2 linked regions of the Diceros bicornis minor genome follow. The protein of the gene in region 2 interacts with the protein of the main gene of each other region in a pairwise test. Links are inferred from orthologs where the notes say so. Each region holds a gene or a part of one and is shown on either strand. Other genes may lie near its edges.

The links.
Region 1: the proteins of FAM131C (region 2) and VSNL1 interact in binary tests that used the Homo sapiens proteins (3 or more experiments, as listed by UniProt). The two-hybrid records come from large-scale screens. The link is inferred for Diceros bicornis minor from reciprocal best matches to the Homo sapiens genes FAM131C and VSNL1.

Annotation. Positions count from the first base shown.
Region 1 is NC_080751.1:63,877,949-63,886,058, forward strand, and holds the start of VSNL1 (visinin-like protein 1), read right to left. Parts: upstream 3,593-8,110; 5' UTR 3,398-3,592; intron 1-3,397.
Region 2 is NC_080752.1:34,029,395-34,037,814, forward strand, and holds the start of FAM131C (protein FAM131C), read right to left. Parts: upstream 3,378-8,420; 5' UTR 3,131-3,377; coding exon 3,109-3,130; intron 1-3,108.

The sequences.
Region 1 (8,110 bases), on a different chromosome or scaffold from region 2:
AGCAGGGCACTTAGCAGCTACAAGCCTAGGTTGTTTGCAGAGGCTGCTGCCTGGTGTTCAGAAGACTCTGGACATGCTTGTTTTCAGAATGGGATAGCGAGACCAGGTGACATCTGACCCAGGAGCATTGGTTAGGGATGAACTCTATCCAAGACAGAGCTCACCTCAATTCAGTAAAGGTTTACCACGAGGGGAGGGGTTAAATTAAATCGTTAATTGGTGAATGTGTTCAGAAACTCACCAGTTTGCTCCCTCAGCTTCCTCAACAACTTCCAAGGATATTTAGCTAATCTTTCAAACGAGCAAGAGACCCAGATTCTGTCTTCCTCAGGCATCCCCTAGTACCCCAGCTTTTTCAGGTAAGAATTCCTGGCATTTTCCCAGAGGGGACATTTGAGGCGGTCTTGGTTATCTTTCTGAGTGCCTGGGAGATTACATTTTTGGTGAAGGAACAGGAGGGCCTGGATTATCTTAAAAAGGGCTAGAGCTTTATCGTATAAGCACTTGGGAAATTTTTAGGGAAGGGAGAAAATGAGGGAGAAATAGGGAAAGCAAGTGAGTGGAAAGGAGAAAAAAAGGAGGAAAGAGAAGAAGGGCAATTAGGCAGGTATTATTGCCTGCTTTGCAGTCTCTGTCCAGCAAGAAGAGCTGTGCACATGCTTTAAAATCTCTCAAGGTTTTAAAAAGCTGCACTGCTCTCCTCTATAGCGCCTGCTTCAGATTGAACCAGAGGAGCATTCTTCTTCAGTCTCCCCTCCTCCCCCCTTCCCCTGCAGGTGGCTTCATCTGGAGGATTTCCATGAAGGCTGCAGACAGTTAAGCATCTTGGATTTGGGTTCTGCCTTCTAGGAGCCAGAGGAGAGCTGGCAGAGCCCACTGTGTGTTTACACTGCAGCTTCCTCACTCTGCTGGGTCCCAATCCCTCCAGCTGCAGCAGTTTTGAAGGAGGCAACACAGGGAAAAGAGTGAGGATGGAGCCTGCAGTGTCTCTGAAGGCTGGATTCCCTGAAGGATTCTGGGAAATAGAGCAGAGAGCGGATAGGGATGAGCCTGGGCAGTCCTCAAAGAGGAGCTGACGATTCCAACTGGTTTCCCTGTTTTCTCAAAAAAACTCCAAGGATCCCAAAGAAATTGACTGAGATGCAGGGGAGGCCAGGAAGGCCAGACTAAACATCTAATGAGGTGGGTATATTAGAGGTGAGGGGCAATGGCAAGGAGAAAGAAAGAAACCTTACAAAACAGGAGAGGCGGGGAAGTGTAACGATGTGAAAAGGAACCCTTGGGACACTTAGAAAGGTGTGCTGGGGAGCAGGCAATTATTTATTTGAAGATTTCAACAATGTCACTGAGGGTGCTAAATGTGCAGAGAGAAGGGAACATTTCCACTCGACATTACTTTTTAATTGCTTATTCCATAGACTAGAAGTTAATTGACTTTTCCCTAGCTCCATGGCTCTGGGCCTCAGTTTCCTCATTTGTAAAACAAGCGGTTTGGATTAGATGCTTTTGAAGGTGTCTGCCGGAAGTGACCCTCTGTAACTGTCAGCCTATGAATCAGGGTATCCCAGAGCAAACTTCTCTGATATGAGCTTTAATACCAGCTTCCCGCTTCTTCCTCCCATGTATCACCCATGTATCAATGCAGGGCAACACCTGCACCATTCAGGGAGCTGACTCCAACTCTCAGTGATGACAAGGAGTATGGCTCAATTACGACAAATGATTGGTCTTTCCGCCCTGGAGTAAGGAAGGGAGGAACAGAGAGGGCAGTGTGATTTACACTTTGAGTTTCCAAGGAGAGGCTAGTCTCGAATTTTCTATTTGAAATTCCATCTATTTAAATAAATTATAAATTCTTTTGAAAGATTCCAAATAGTGGGACTGACTGAAGGGCCAAAGAGTCCTATAATAATCTGCCCTATTTGGGGAAAGTTTATTTCAATTCATCCCAGAAATTGGAGCTGCTTTTTCCATGGAAATCCAGCACACACTGGCCATGCTCTTCTCTTGTCTGTCTGCCTCATGCCATTCTGCCAACCTGCTTCAGTGCAGCATTTTCTGGAGTTATTAAATATCCAAGCTGAATGAGAGTGCACTTATGGGTGAGGTGTTCAGTGATGCAGGACCTCCCCCCACAAACACACACACATGTAGGCAGTTTAAATGGTAGTGGAGATAAAACGTGTTTTCACAAGGGTTTCATTTGTAATTTGTGTCAACCTGAAATTCCTTTAAATTAAAAAAATTAATATGTAGACATACAACTCCCTTGCTCCTCTTGTCTTCAAGTGAGATGTGACACACAGATAGTATACACTTGTATTTTCTACACCCACTAGCATTTCCATTTCATTTTAGTCTCCAGAATATGAACAGGAGGGCAACTCTAGAAAAATGGATTCCCACTCTTGCATCTCCCAGGGTGCTGATCCATGCAGTGCTGAGCACTCACATGGATCATCACCATTTCCCCCCAACCCCAATTCACCAGCACCCCTGAGGGGGTTTGACCTTGCAAAGTCCCTTCTTCTATTTCTCGGCAAGGAACAACCCATTTTAACTCAAAACACAAAAGGACCTTTTCTCCTTTAAAGAAACATTACCAAATGTAACACATCTGGGTTTACATTTCTCAACCCTGCATTCCGGAATGAGAATACCGGATGCAAAAGCAGGGAACTAGTTCGGGTCTGACAGTCTTCATTCAGCGACTCTGAGTCTCAGACTCCGTTCAAAATAGACGGCTGACTGTGAGGTTAAACATCTTTCCTTTTTTCTGCCCATTCACCATCGTGACGAAAAAACAAAACCGAAAAATTATCTACTCATTTTTAAATACTAAGAGAGAAACGTGCTTATTTTGCACCTCGCTCTGTGGTTCCGAACACTAACATCCCACTTTGAAATCAACCCTGATTTCCACACCACCTCGTCCATTCAGTTTTACTTAGCAAACACCTTCACGGCTCTTCCACAGTGAGAAAAATGGTGCCCCAACCCCACGGATGACGGGTTGGTACTTGACTGGAACCGCTCAATAGTTTTATCAGCAACCGGAAAACTTCACAATCGGTCAGTTAGCTACTTAAATCTTGTAAGGAAATCTGCCTATTTATAGACAAACTAAAAAAGCACCTCTGTTTCACGTATCTTAAATCTTGCCTAAGACAATCTCCCACACACGCCGCATATAAACACTCCCCCTTCCCCCACCCCATTATTCCAAGAGGTCCCCTGCGGACTAACAGCACATTCAGATCACCAGCATTAACCAAAACAATTGTCACCATGCATTTAGACGCATCTATGCAAAGTATGTGACAATAGCCAAAGCATCTCCCCGACAATTGGCTGTACTACATGCAGAAATGCAACGAAGATTGTATTTTCCACTTACAGTTATAGCGCTGCGCACGGTCACTTAACGAAAATGATAAAACTCAACAGTTCTTTATATATATATTTAATTCGGGTAAACGGTTAAGCCGTCTCTGTGTGTGGTTCTCTCGCGCTCTTTTTTTCTCTGGGGCTCTAGGCTGCTTAAATTCCTCTTGGATCGCGCCTTGCAAGCCCAGCCGCCGCCGCAACACGCTTCGGTAAGTCTCTGCTGCGGATTGGGAACCCCATACAAAACCTAGGGACCCTGGAGCTGGATGCGCAGGCGCGCGAGCCGCCGCCTCTCCAGGCACCCCCCTCCCCTGTCGCCTCCTCCCTCCGCCTCCAGCTCCGCAGCCCCAGCTTGGAGAGCTCTGGAGCCAGTGACCAAAAGGAGCCTGGCATTGGCGCATGCTCAGTTGGAGGGGCTCGGAGTTCCCGCGGGTGGATTCCACGTCTCCAGATTTTAGCAGAAACTCAAAAGAAAAGTAGATAGGAAAAGGGAGCCTGGCTACCAGAGCAGACTGCACCTGGACAGGCGCAAGGAAGGGAGAGCTAGGCTCACCAAGCTCCGTGGTTACCTAGTCTGGTGATGAAGGCTGAGGCCAGAGATGGGACACGTGGAGCCTGCTTTTCCCGCCGCCGTCAGCCCTAGAGGGGTCCCGGCCCATCCTTTGTCAGGCTGTAAAGTGAAGGAGAAAAATGCAGAAATCCCTTCTTGGAAGGAAGCGTTCCCAGCAAGCTGTGAGCGTACTACCCTGCTCACTGTGAGGGAACACTGATGGTGGGCATTTTGCCTTGGGCCGCCGTTTCATCAGAGGGCCTGATGCTAGGACCTGAGAGCCAGGCTCCCTGGTACCCCAGTGCCCGGGATAGTCTTGGTTCAGAGTGGCGTTGGAGAAATATGTGTTGAAGGGAACTGAGTCCTAAGCTTCTTGCCCTGTGTGACCTTGGGCAGATCATGCTAACCATCAACAAACGTTTAATAAGCACATTTTGTATACACTTAATCAATGTTTATTGAATATGCTTTTGGGGGGCGGGGGTGGAGAGGAGAGAATGAACCAACCTTAGAATCTAGGCAGTTGCAGCACCAAGCCCCCTTTTGCGTCCTTGAAGGACTCATACGTTTGCCACCTCCCCCACTCCCCACTGGCCTGCCAACGCCTAGAAGACTTGGCAAGGAGTAGTGCCCAGTGAATGTTGGACGTTTCCCTACCAGGAAAACAAAGGAAATTTCCCGAATGTTCCCTACCTGATCAGTTTCCTCAAGTGTGTATGTTTGTACATTCATTATTCATTGACCACCTGCCTACTGACTAGTAGGCACTGTTTTATGCCTTGGGGATAATGCAATGAACAAAACCCCTTCCGAGGTTTACATTCAGGTGGGAATTGAATTATTTTCAAGGAAGGGAAGTTCTGGAGGCACAGTGAAGATTGTCTTTCTCCTTAAGCAGAGAGCTTTACAATTTGCAAAGCGCTTTCACACACCTTATTACATTCAGGAAAACTTCAGTTAACACCTTTCTGTTCTGAGGACACCAAGAGCATCTCCCGTGGCAAAAGCGCTCTAGATTGACAAATGTCCGTTCCCAGGAGGGAGCTGCTCCCGGCTGCAAGTGGGGGAATCCAGCATGGAAGAATGTGAGGTAAGACCAAGAGAAACTCTGCTCGATGAGTCTCCAGCGACTGAAGGCTCGTGCTAGGTGAGGGCCTTGGGCGGTGACGCCTAAGCCGCGGCCTTACGCTCAGTGTCAAACCTGCCGGCCCAGAGCCCAGGAATGCGCTTTTCTGGGCCAGACGCCTCCCAAAGGTTGCATAGAGGCGGAGAACGCTCTCGGGACTCCCGGGACAGTGCTCACCGAAGTGCCCTCCCGGTGTGCTTCTTCACCCGGTGCTGGTGACCGCGGAAACCCGGAGCGCGGAGCCGCACGGAGCAGGGCGCGCGGCCCGGGTGCGCTGTGGCAGCGGGAGCAGGTTTCGAGTCTGGCGGGAGTCAGCCCTGCGCTCCGGGCTGCAGTGCGCACTGCGCAGCGGGGCTCGCCAGATGGATTCTTTCTGTTTCTCGGGATGGGGTGGGGGCAAAAGTCAGTTCTGCATAAGTCGCTTTTGTTGGCCATGGAGACAACCTCCAAAGCTTTCAAAGTAATTTCCCCTCTTTTGTCGATTTCCCCTGCTAAAGCATTTTACGCTGGGCTCTCTGGTTTCTCTCTCGAGAACAGTCTCCGCACTGCAATCTGCATCGACCGAAGGGGTCGTGGTGCCATTTCTCCGCTTCGAAAAGATGTACATATTTCTCGCGCCCTGGAGGTCTCTTTCGTGTCAATAGTCGGTTTTAGATAACTTACTTTCAGCTTGTGTTTAGGAAAAAAGGAACACTGATACTTTAAACCATGTTTTGTTGTAGGGGAGATTTGATTTAAGTGTGTGCGCTTTTGTAAAGCAGCTTTGTCTAATTGGACAGTCAGGTTTTTTGTTTTTGTTTTTGTTTTGTTTTGTTTTGTTTTTTTGGTTGTATTTGCACTGAAGCGTTATTTGGCGTCCCTAATGCAATATCTTAATTTTTAATCTCCAGCTATTATGTAGCTTTATCTTTTTAAGCTCTAATATTTTGTTGTTAAAAAAGTTATTTTTGAGTTACCCTTTAGTCTAGTTTTATGTGCAGCACGAAGTCAAAGCAGGGAAGCCAATTCTAAAAGACACCGAAGGAATGTTATCGTTTAAATTATAAAAAGCAGTTTCCCTCTTTAGGATAGCAGAATGAAGTAGAATGTAGTAGGGACAATTTAAAAAATAGGGAGCCCTCGGTTTCTTTCCTCCTTCAGTCATTTGCAGGTCTCACTGGTGAGCACAGAAGAGCAGAGACGCGCGGCGCTGCACTGCTATGCGCCCTGGGGTAGAGGGACCGGAACCCTGCTCCGTGTTGAGTGAAGAATGCCATCAGCTGTGGCAGTTGTCCCATTACTTAAAACCACGTCCCCAATACTGCGCACTGACCGCGGTGTCAGCTTTCACACCTGGAGATTTTGGGGCGTGGAGGGGGGGGCGGTAAGTCTGGACGTGGGGAAGGGAAGGGAGGAGGGTGCTATAGGGAGGGGGTTGTTTTTTCTGCAGTACCTGGTAGGGTCCTCAGTTGCCCAGAAGCAACTGAGGAGCCATTTTCCTTTCCTCAGTGGCAAATTATATTCTTTCCTTACTTCCACCTCACTCCTTCCCAGATTCAAACAAACCAACAAAATAAAACCAAGAATGGCTTTTAGGTGTACACAATTTCATTTAATATCTCCATCCACTTTAATTGTGGCATGGACAAGTTGACAACCGAGAATGACAGTAAAATGCAAAGTGCCAGTACTATAACAGGTCTAAGCTTGTGGTCCTGTGAGCTTATGGTAATATTATTTATTAGACATGCTGTGTATAAATTATATGAGCCAAGAAGGGTGGAACTTAAGGCATGGGGGCATTTAGGAAATTGGAAGAAAAATTAAGTGTTTGAAAGTCAACATTATAAAATGAAAAGAGACAGGAATTGGAAAAACGGATTTATACTCATTTAAATTCATAAAGAATAATGATAGTAATTTTCTTGTATGGGTAAAGTGCTTTTATTTCAAAAAGCTAAGTATTAATCCTTACAGAGGAGACGCATTATGTAAGATAATTATGTTTATCCTGATTTTTTTATCCTATTTTAAAAAACATGTAGATAGACAAACAAAATAACTTCCCTAAAGTCAAACAGAAAGTTATCACCTTGAATAAAACCATGCAGCAGTTTTTCTGATGAATAAAGTATTTTGTTGTGTATGTTTATACTCCTTCTACATATTTTTCTAAAATAAGTGGAAAAATGCAGGACCATGAAGGAGTGATTCCCGGGCACTTACAGGGAGAGCTCCCTGGCTCTCCAAACAGAGGAGGGATTAAAAGTCTGAGTTTTAATGGACTCAGTTAATCATTTCTCCTAGTCCACTACTGATTTATCTCTGTAATCCATGACTGGATCTAAATTCAGTTTGAAAGATCACTTTTAGCTGAGTTACCAATTTCCCTTACAATTTGAACAATCTACAGTAAAAGTTTCTTAAGTCCCTGCTGAGTGAATTATTGTCAAAATTTTGAATTTCCTGGAAGTCTTGGAGTCTCAGAAATGTTCATAGCAAATGCGGGTGGTCTGCAGCCTCAAGAACAGGAAATGCTTTATTCCCTTCTCTCTTCTACATTTGGGCCTAACCTATAGATTCATAACAGTGCTCTTAAGTTGGAAATTTTCACCACTATTGTTAGTGACAACACAGAAGAAATGATGATAGCAGAATTGGACTATATATGACCCCTATTTCTTTTCTTCAATGACTTTTTAAGGAGTCCCTTATGCTAGGCTTTACTCTGGTTTAGTTGTGTGAATAGCTACTATAAATATAATCATGGACTCATGTTCTGGAACTTCTGTGCTACTCTGGAGATCATCTGATCCTGAAGGGTCTTCTAAAGCCCTTCTTGCCTAAAGTAGATTTTACTGACTTGTTTCTCCCTTCAACCTCTATTTTCCTTAATATAGTTCCCTTGAATTTTTAATGAAACTCTCAAACTTAGAGAATCTTAGCATAAAATTTAAGGGAAAATAAAAACAATGAATTCTATACCCCCTCTGAGACAACCAACACAAAACCCGCATCCTTTGCCAAAAGATTTTCACAACTGAGTTTATATTTTCACCTACAGCCAG
Region 2 (8,420 bases):
CCCTGCTCCCAGGGTTGACTGAGGACTAACTAGGTCAGGAGAGTAAAGGCTCTGGCGGGCTCAGGCTAAGTGCCCAACCAACAGCAGCTTAAAAATAGATAATGAACACAAAACAGCTCCTGGAAACAGCGCTTGTTGCCTTAATCTGGGCCCCACCACCTTCCCCATGTCCTCAGCATCTCGAGTGCCTGCCGTCCGTTCTTTCTCCACGAGGCAGGATGGCGCTTGAAGCCTCTGTAGCTTCCCCTTTCCCAGCCAAGAGGGTCTCAACTAGCTGTCTGCACAGGAGGTAAGGATAAAAATTAAAAATGAAAGTCATAGCTGACACTTATGAGTGCTTACTACATGCTAGGTACTGATCAGAGGGCTTTACATGGATTAGGTCATTTAATCCCCTCCCAGCAACCCTAGGACATCAATACTGGCATTACTCCCATTTTAGAGATTAGAACACTGAGATACATACACAAAGTTACATTACTTCCTGAGGTCTCAGAGGCAGAGAATGGTGGAGCAGGGATGCGAACCTGGGCTGGCCGGCTCCAGGCTGCACTCCTGATCTCTCTGGCCTGGCACGGAGAAGCAACTGCTGCCCGATGCTGGCATGGGCTGGCTCTCCCAGGTGTGGCCTGGACCTGGGGTTTGAGGTTTGGCTGGGGTGACCTCAGCTGCATGCAGGCTCCGGGCTCCATATAGGCATCAGCATGAGGCTCCAACCCCTGGCCTGGCTGCAGGCTGCGTCCCTGGCCCAAGGACACGCGTGGACTAAGGGGGCTGCTATTAGCAGTTGGTGCAGGTGTGGAGGCCAGGTGTGGGGCTCAGAAGCTCACGGAAGCCTGCAGCTGGGGAGGAGCAGGACAGGAGCTGGCACCCGGGCTGAGGGCGGGCTGTGCCGGGCAGAGGCCGAGGGCCCAGGCTCTGGAGTCCGCGAGACTGGGTTCCAGTCCCGCCTCTGCTATTTCTTAGCCATGTGGCCCCGCCAAGTCACTCAACTCCCCTCTGCTCAGTTTCCCCATTTGTACAATGGGGACTGTGATAGTATGTACCCCAAATTAACTAGTTGTGCCCAAAAGGTTCCAACCAGTACCTGGTAAGCCATAAGTACGCTGAGACTATTAGTGACAGAGGGGTGGACGGCCTCCACTCGGGGGTTCACGGGACGACGGTGTCCTCTGCTCAAGCAGCCCTATACCTTCATCTTTATCTCATTTCTCTGCATGCACATTAAGCTCTAAGTGGCCCTACCCTCTCAGGAGGGAGACAAGGTTAGAATATACAACCAGATCTGGAGGTGGCACTCGGGAGCCCAAGCCACAGAAGGAAGGGTGGAGAACGCCCGTCTTGGGTGGTGTGACCTCAAACAGGCATGGCAGAGGGTGCCAGCACTGGGTGGGGGTTCAGAGGACCTGGGCCCCACCCCAGTCCTGACACCACCTCGCAGTGTGACCTTGGTGGGCTTCTCTTCCTCCCTGGCCTCTGCACTGTGCTCAGCGGGTCTGCAGCTCACAGGCAAGTTCATGAGGGGCTGGGCCCCCAGTTCCTGGCATGGGATGACTAAGTGATGGGGAAGGGACACAGTCACCAAGGAAACACCAGATCCCAGATCCCCAACACCCGGAGCCTGCCCAGAGCCTTCGGGGTTTCTGGAGACACACTGAGAGCCTGTCTGTCCTAAAGAACTCTAAACACTTCACTCTTGAAACTCCCTTCCCCTCTGGCTGGGCTGCAGGCCTCACGAGAGCAGGCGCTGTGCTGGGCTCATCGCCGCTGGAAGCCCAGAGCCTACACCGTGCCTGGCACACAGTAGGTGTCATGCTAATATCAGCTTATGAATGAGTAAGTGAATGAACCTCACACAGTCTAGCCTCCACCCACAATCCCAGCCCTGACACCCTCCTAAGACATGTTGAGCCACGTACCTGAATGTCCCACATGGACCGGTGAGCAGAGCCCCTTAGAGGCCAGAGGATGGGCAGGTGTGTGTGGGGGGGATGTTGTGCTCCTTCATCAACACCTCCCAGGGCAAGGCCCCCTCCAGGGCCTGCCCAGCTCCTCCCAAAGACCTGTTCATTCCTCTATACCTGAATAAGCTATTGGGGGAGACAGGTGGGGTAGCAGGCCCCAAGGCCCTGAGGTTGGGTCGGTGGGTTTAGCCTCAGCCCAATGTCCCAGTCACCTCCACCCCCAGCCCTGCCCCGCATCCCACTCTGGGGTGAAGAGACAGGTGGGAGAACAGCCCAGCCAACCTCTTCTAAAATGTTGCCCAGTGGCCTGTTGGATCCACCTGCCCATCCCCGAGGCTCTGTGTAAGACTCCCCCGCCACCCTCCAGGGCAGCTCACTCCAGCTCCCGGGCATCACCCTGGGGACAGGGGTGGGGCTTGGCACAGGACAAGAGCAGAGTGTGCCAGGTCAGGGCGGCTTTTAAATCACAGAGACAGAGAGAAAGGCCCAGGGCTTACTGGGAACATCAGCTGTCTCTCTCCCTTCCTACCCCCTGACCTCAGATGGCGATGGGGATGAGGAGTTGGGGATAAGGGTGGGGGAAGGGGAACTTTCTTTATAACCTGTTCACCTCCATTAAGCCCTTCCTGCCAATGGGGTTCAGGGACTCTGAAGACAGGGGCATGGGGTAAGAGGAGGGAATGAGCTGGTGGGGGGTGGGGGAGCGTTGAGCTAGTGAGGCCTGTGTCTTGAGGGGGTGTGAATCTGTGTTCTGGTGCCCCCGACGTCCCGCCAGAGACGCCAAGGGCAACCAGAAACCTCCTTCCCTTCCAAGGCACACGCACGGCAGGGGGTGTGTGGCTGTTGGGAAAGAAGGGACTCTGTTTCATGCCACCAGCTGGGGTGTGGTTCCAAGCGGGTCTGGGGATGCGGTGACCTCGCTGCGCTCTCTCTCCAAGCAGCACCCCGTCTCCCGCGCCCTGTGCCCCTCGGGGCACCGCGTCCCCTGGGGCTCGGCGGGCGTGGGGTGGGGTGCGGCTTAGTCCGGGAGGGGCGGGTCGCTCCCCTACCCCTCTAGTTTCCTCAGAGCGGTCGAGAGGACGTGCGCGCGTCCCGGGCGCGGGGACCCCGGCCACCGCCCCCCCCAGGCCGGCGGCCCCCTCACCTCGCGACACGCAGGAGCCCATCACGGGGCCGCGGGGCCGGGCCGCTGCGCCTCGGGTGCGTCGGGCCGCTGGGCGCTCATGTCTCCGCGGGCTGGGGCTCAGGTGCGCGCGGGCGCAGCGGGCGGAGGGGCGCGCGGAGGAGCGGGGAAGGGGCTGCGGCTCCGCTCGCTCGGCCGCCACCACCGCCGCGCCCGGCTCTTCGCGCCGCCGCCTCCCGCGCCGCGCTCGCTCCTGCTCCTGCTCCTGCTCCTGCTCTGCCAGCCGCGGGCGGCACGGCGGGCGGGGGCCCCCGGGGACCGCGCGCCCCGAGCCCCGAGTGCCCTGCCCCTGCCCCCTGCGTGGCCGCCAGCCCCGCGCACCTGTTGCGGCAGCCCGGGCGGGGGGTGCAAGGGAGTGGGGGGGACAGGGGGTGGGGTGGCGGGGAGGGCAGAAGGTGGGGAGGGCAATTTCCGGCCCTCAGGCCTCCCGCGCCACCTGGTGACAGGGGCTGAAGGTCAGGGAAGGGGGCGGTGGGGACGGGGAGATTCCGGCATTTAGGCACAAAGTACATAACGTTAACTCAACCACCACGACCGGACACCCGGCTGAGCGCAGTAACAATAGTTCCACTGCGCCCATTTTGCAGAGGCTCATGGAAGTCAGATGCCTGCCTGAGGTCCCTTAGCTGTGAGGGACAGCGACTTTGGACCGTCAGCTCCTCATTTGGGGGACGCTGGCCCGGGGTAGAGTACGGAGGGTGGAGATAGTGTACTAGTGGCCTCGCGCTGGACAGGAGTCTCCCGTAGCACCTGAAGGGGGTCGACGGCCTCTCTGGGCCTATCCAGGGCAAGGTAAACTGAGGCACGGGCCTTTCCTCAGCCCGGGTCTCCTGTCTAATGGAGCGACAGTGGCCGGCTCTAATCACTCACCCTCAGTCTCACACACACACGTACCTACAAACACTCTCACACGCGTACACACCCACACATGCCAACTTGCACACCCACACACTTGTACACACTCACACACACTAGCACACACCCACAGACTCATATGTATACACGCTCACATTTACACACCCTCCCCCACCAGCGCCTTAGCAAACCTTCCCTCCGGGGCCCTCACTTTCACCTGCTTGGTCTCACTCCATCCTTACACCTACCTGTGCCCCAGGTGGGCGCGTGTCACTGTGTCCCTTTCACAGGTGAGGAAGCCAGGTTCACTGGTCCCTTCAAACTCCTGGTGACGGCCGGGCAAGGTTTGGAAGGCTGGATGAGGTTTGAGGCAGGGGCGTGGGGTAGAGCTGGAGGCCTCCAGCAGGGCAGGATCTGGGCCTGGTGGGACTGCCGGGGGCGGGGTGGGGGACAGGGCTGGGGGTGGGTGCTGACCGCTTTCTCTTTCTCCAGGCCTGGTCACCTCTCTGGAGTCAAGTCTGGGTGGAGAGTGGCCCTGGCCACTGGTGTCAGCAGATCTGGTGTGAGTGTGGGCTCAGCTCACACAGGCTGTGTGACTCGGGGCAAGTTGATTCACCTCTCTGAGGCTCAGTTTTTTTATCTGTTAACCCAGGGTAAAAATCTCACCTCCTGGGGTTGCTGTAAGGATTAATGAGATAATATGTGCAAAATGACCAGCACATAGTACATACTTAACTTACGGCTAATGATAATTGATAGTGACGGTGAACACAGGTAGGAAGTATTATTACCTCCCCACAGCTTCCCTACACCCACAGGAAGCCTAAAGAACCGCCATTCAGTGGACGTGTATGAAGCACCTACTATGCGCCACTGCGAACAAGACAGACATGCTAGTCCTGGAGTCAGTGCTGTGTCTGGTCAGGGTGCTCAGACACCCCCATGCCCCGCCCATCTCAGACCTGTCCCCCCCGCCCCCCCCCCCCCGTCTGGCCTGTGGGGATAGCTCTGAAGGGACAGTCTGTGATCACCATGGATGCCCTGGTGCCTTGCACAGTGTCAGCTGTGTGCCTGCCCTTGTGTGGAAACAGGAAGACGAGTCTGCCTGTGGCCAGGCTCTGGGGGCCTGTCCTGTGTGGCCCGGGGTTGTGGCAGCAGAAGTGTCCTTCCTCTTTCCGTGGTGGAGTGACTGGCTCTGGCCTGGAGGGAGGGCTCTGACTCACCATGACGCAGGAAGCTTGGTCACAGCTGCTGCTGCTCCCAGCTGGCAGCCTGGCAGCTCTGGGGGCAGAGGGGATGGGGAGGGGGACCCCTGCAGAGAGGACAGGGCAGCTCACAGGGGAAAGGATGCCTGAGGAGTCTACTGTGTCCCCTTCAGCTTAAGACAGGGACAGGTGGACGAGGCTGGGCAGCGGCCCCACACGGGGTCCCTTGCTCACCAGCTCAGAGAGATGGCTGGGCGAGGTGGGGTGGTTCTGGCTGTCCCAGCCTCCAGCATTCATGCTGGTCAGTTCCACACTGAATCAATCCTCTCATTGTAGAGATTGGCTCTCAGAGAGGGGCAGGGGCTTGCCCAAGGTCACACAGCAAATTGATGGCAGAATGGGGACGAGAACCCAGGTCTCCTGCCTGTCAGCCCAGCCCTGGCACTAACCTGAGACTGGACCATGTGAGGGTGGGCAGCTCCCTGTTGCATGCCCACATTCACCTTCCCTGTCCTTGGAATTCTGCTGAAGCTGATGGTTCCCAGACTCCCAGACAGCTCTAAGATATGTGGCTGTCCTTCCCCAGGGGCAGGCTGTCCTTTCTCAGCTCAGCCCACAGCCCATCTGCCCTGTGACCTCCCATTCCCCTCCCCCAGCACCCTCCTCCCCATCCATCCACTGGGGGGAGGAGAGAGGAGGCTGCTGCTGGGTGAGGGGACCAGGGGAGAGAGTGCCCTTCACACCCCGAACCTCATTCGCCTGTCATGGTTTTGGGGATCCGGGCAGAGTCCCCACTCCTGTGGCTGCCCTACTTGTTCTGTTCAACAACGGACGTTTACTGGCCCCGGGTGCCCAGCCCTGGGCTGGGCCCTGGAGCATGGAGAGCAGATGATGCAGGGTTTGGTCAGGGAAAGATTGATCAACGGGAGCCGTTCAGTGATGAGTCAGACCCAGTCCCTGCCCAGGCGGTCCTGGGAGGGGGACGGCACTGCACGAGGGCAGCCGTGTGCATCAATAGCTCGGGTCAGAGTGGACACTGGTGCACCCCCACGCCAGCCAAGTGTGAGGGGAGAGTTGCTTCTGCCAAGGGTTGTGGGGATGGCTTCAAGGCGACGGTGACCCTGCGATGGTTTTTTTTTTTTGTGTGAGGAAGATCAGCCCCGAGCTAACATCCTCCGTGCTAATCCTCCTCTTTTTGCTGAGGAAGACCGGCTCTGAGCTAACATCTATTGCCAATCCTCCTCCTTTTTTTCCCCAAAGCCCCAGTAGATAGTTGTATGTCATAGTTTCACATCCTTCTAGTTGCTGTATGTGGGACGCGGCCTCAGCATGGCGGGAGAAGCGGTGCGTCGGTGCGCGCCCGGGATCCGAACCCTGGGCCGCCAGTAACGGAGCGCACGCACTTAACCACGGGGCCGGCCTGCGATGGGGTTTTGAAGGTTGAATAGGACGTTGGCAGGCAGAGATGCTGGAGGGCTCTGTGTGCACCAGGGTATGGAGGGAGGGATGCTTGAGGTACTGGGGGACTGGCATATATGATGTCTGGGGGACCAGAGGGAGAGGATGAGACTTCAGACTGGGGTTTCCCACCTCGTGCCTCAAACATCTCCTCAGTATTGGTTTTCTCAGGAAAGGCAGAGCTGGATAAGCAGTAAGGGAACAGAATTGGAAGCCAGCCAGATCTGGGTTTGACTCCTGTGCCCAGAACAATTTGTAGTAGATGCTCAATAAGTGTTTGTTGACTGAATGCAAGAAAATGAGACTTGTCCAGGGTCACACATCTAGAAAGCGGTTATAGGCAGGACTGACTGATTCAACCTTTCATTCATCCAGCAAATGCTTATTGAGCATCACTATATGCCCAGCACTATGTGGTGCTGAGATTACAGCGTGAATGAGAGAGATGAGGCCCCTGTTCACTGGAGGAGGGAGAATAGTCCTCATGGGGGAGGTGGGCATTCATCCAGTAACGACCCAGGTGAATTGAGAGTCACAGCCCTGGGATTGCTGAGAAAGATCTATTGAGAGCATAGAAGAGAAGGACTCAATGTGGTGTCGAGCGTGGAGGGAGCGTCCAGGAGAAGCGACAGTGAATGAGTCCACAGCTCAAGTACGAGTGGGACGTGGCTTAGCAGAGATAACGTTGCATGGGCCACCTTAGAGGTGGAGGAAGGGACCAACTCCCAGGAGGAAGAGAGGGCCATGGTGGCTGGAGCACGGGGGATGAGAGGGAGGCGGTGGCAGGAGCGAGCACCTATATGGGATCTGGCCTTTATCCAAAGAGCAGGGGGAAGCCCCATCCTCTGTTTTCTTCTCTGCCAACCAGCTTCTTTCCAGTCACTCTCGGGTGGGGTCGAGGCCTGAATGAAGCTCCTCGTACAGTTCCTTGTTTCTCTGGAGGCCCAGCGCTGTCTGCGAAGCCTGGGAAAGAAGGCCACAGGCTGACCACAGAATGTGCCCACTCTCAGCTCCAGGCTCGGGATGGGGGCTTCTAGCTGGAGTGAGGTGTCGGGTCGGAGTCCCCTCCGCCTCTCCCCAGGCAATGAGCTAGACTAGGTGGGACAGGGAGAGAGAGAAGGGTAAGCCATAGTCTGATGGGGGAGACACAGCCTCTGTGCTGGGCACTGGGGACACTGGGATGAGACCAGCCCCTGCCCTGGAAGCTTCCGGCCCGGATAGTAAACAGGTGCCCCAAGTTCGTCTCTAAAATGCCTGGCCCAGGCCTGGTCCACGGGGGCTGCTTCACGACAAGATCCCTTTCTCAGGGTTGAGGCTGGGACCCTGACTCCTGAGTCTCAGGATCTCTGCAGGTAGGAGGCCCTCTCCCCTCAGATGCTTTTCCTGAGCTGTCAATGTTATGCAGAAGGTGGCCACCAGGGGGCAGCACGAGACAGCACAATTCTTGACTGCTTTCATTTTCCTTCCTCTGTTTGGCGACTGACCCAGAAAGTACCACGCTGGCAACTCAGACTCAGCCACAATTCAAGGTTGTGCCTCATGCGCCCTGCACAAAGGTGCCCAGCCAAGGAGGAGGGCACTGAGACCCTTCCCATGCTCTGGTCACCAAGCCCTGAGCTCTGGCATGGGTTGTGTCTGCCCCAGTACAGGCTGCCTTTTTCTTAACATAAACGTATCATCTTCCTGCTAAGCTGTGCGCTACAAGATTGTGTCCACCTGTATTCGCACAGTCTCCCTCAAGGCTAGCAACACTCC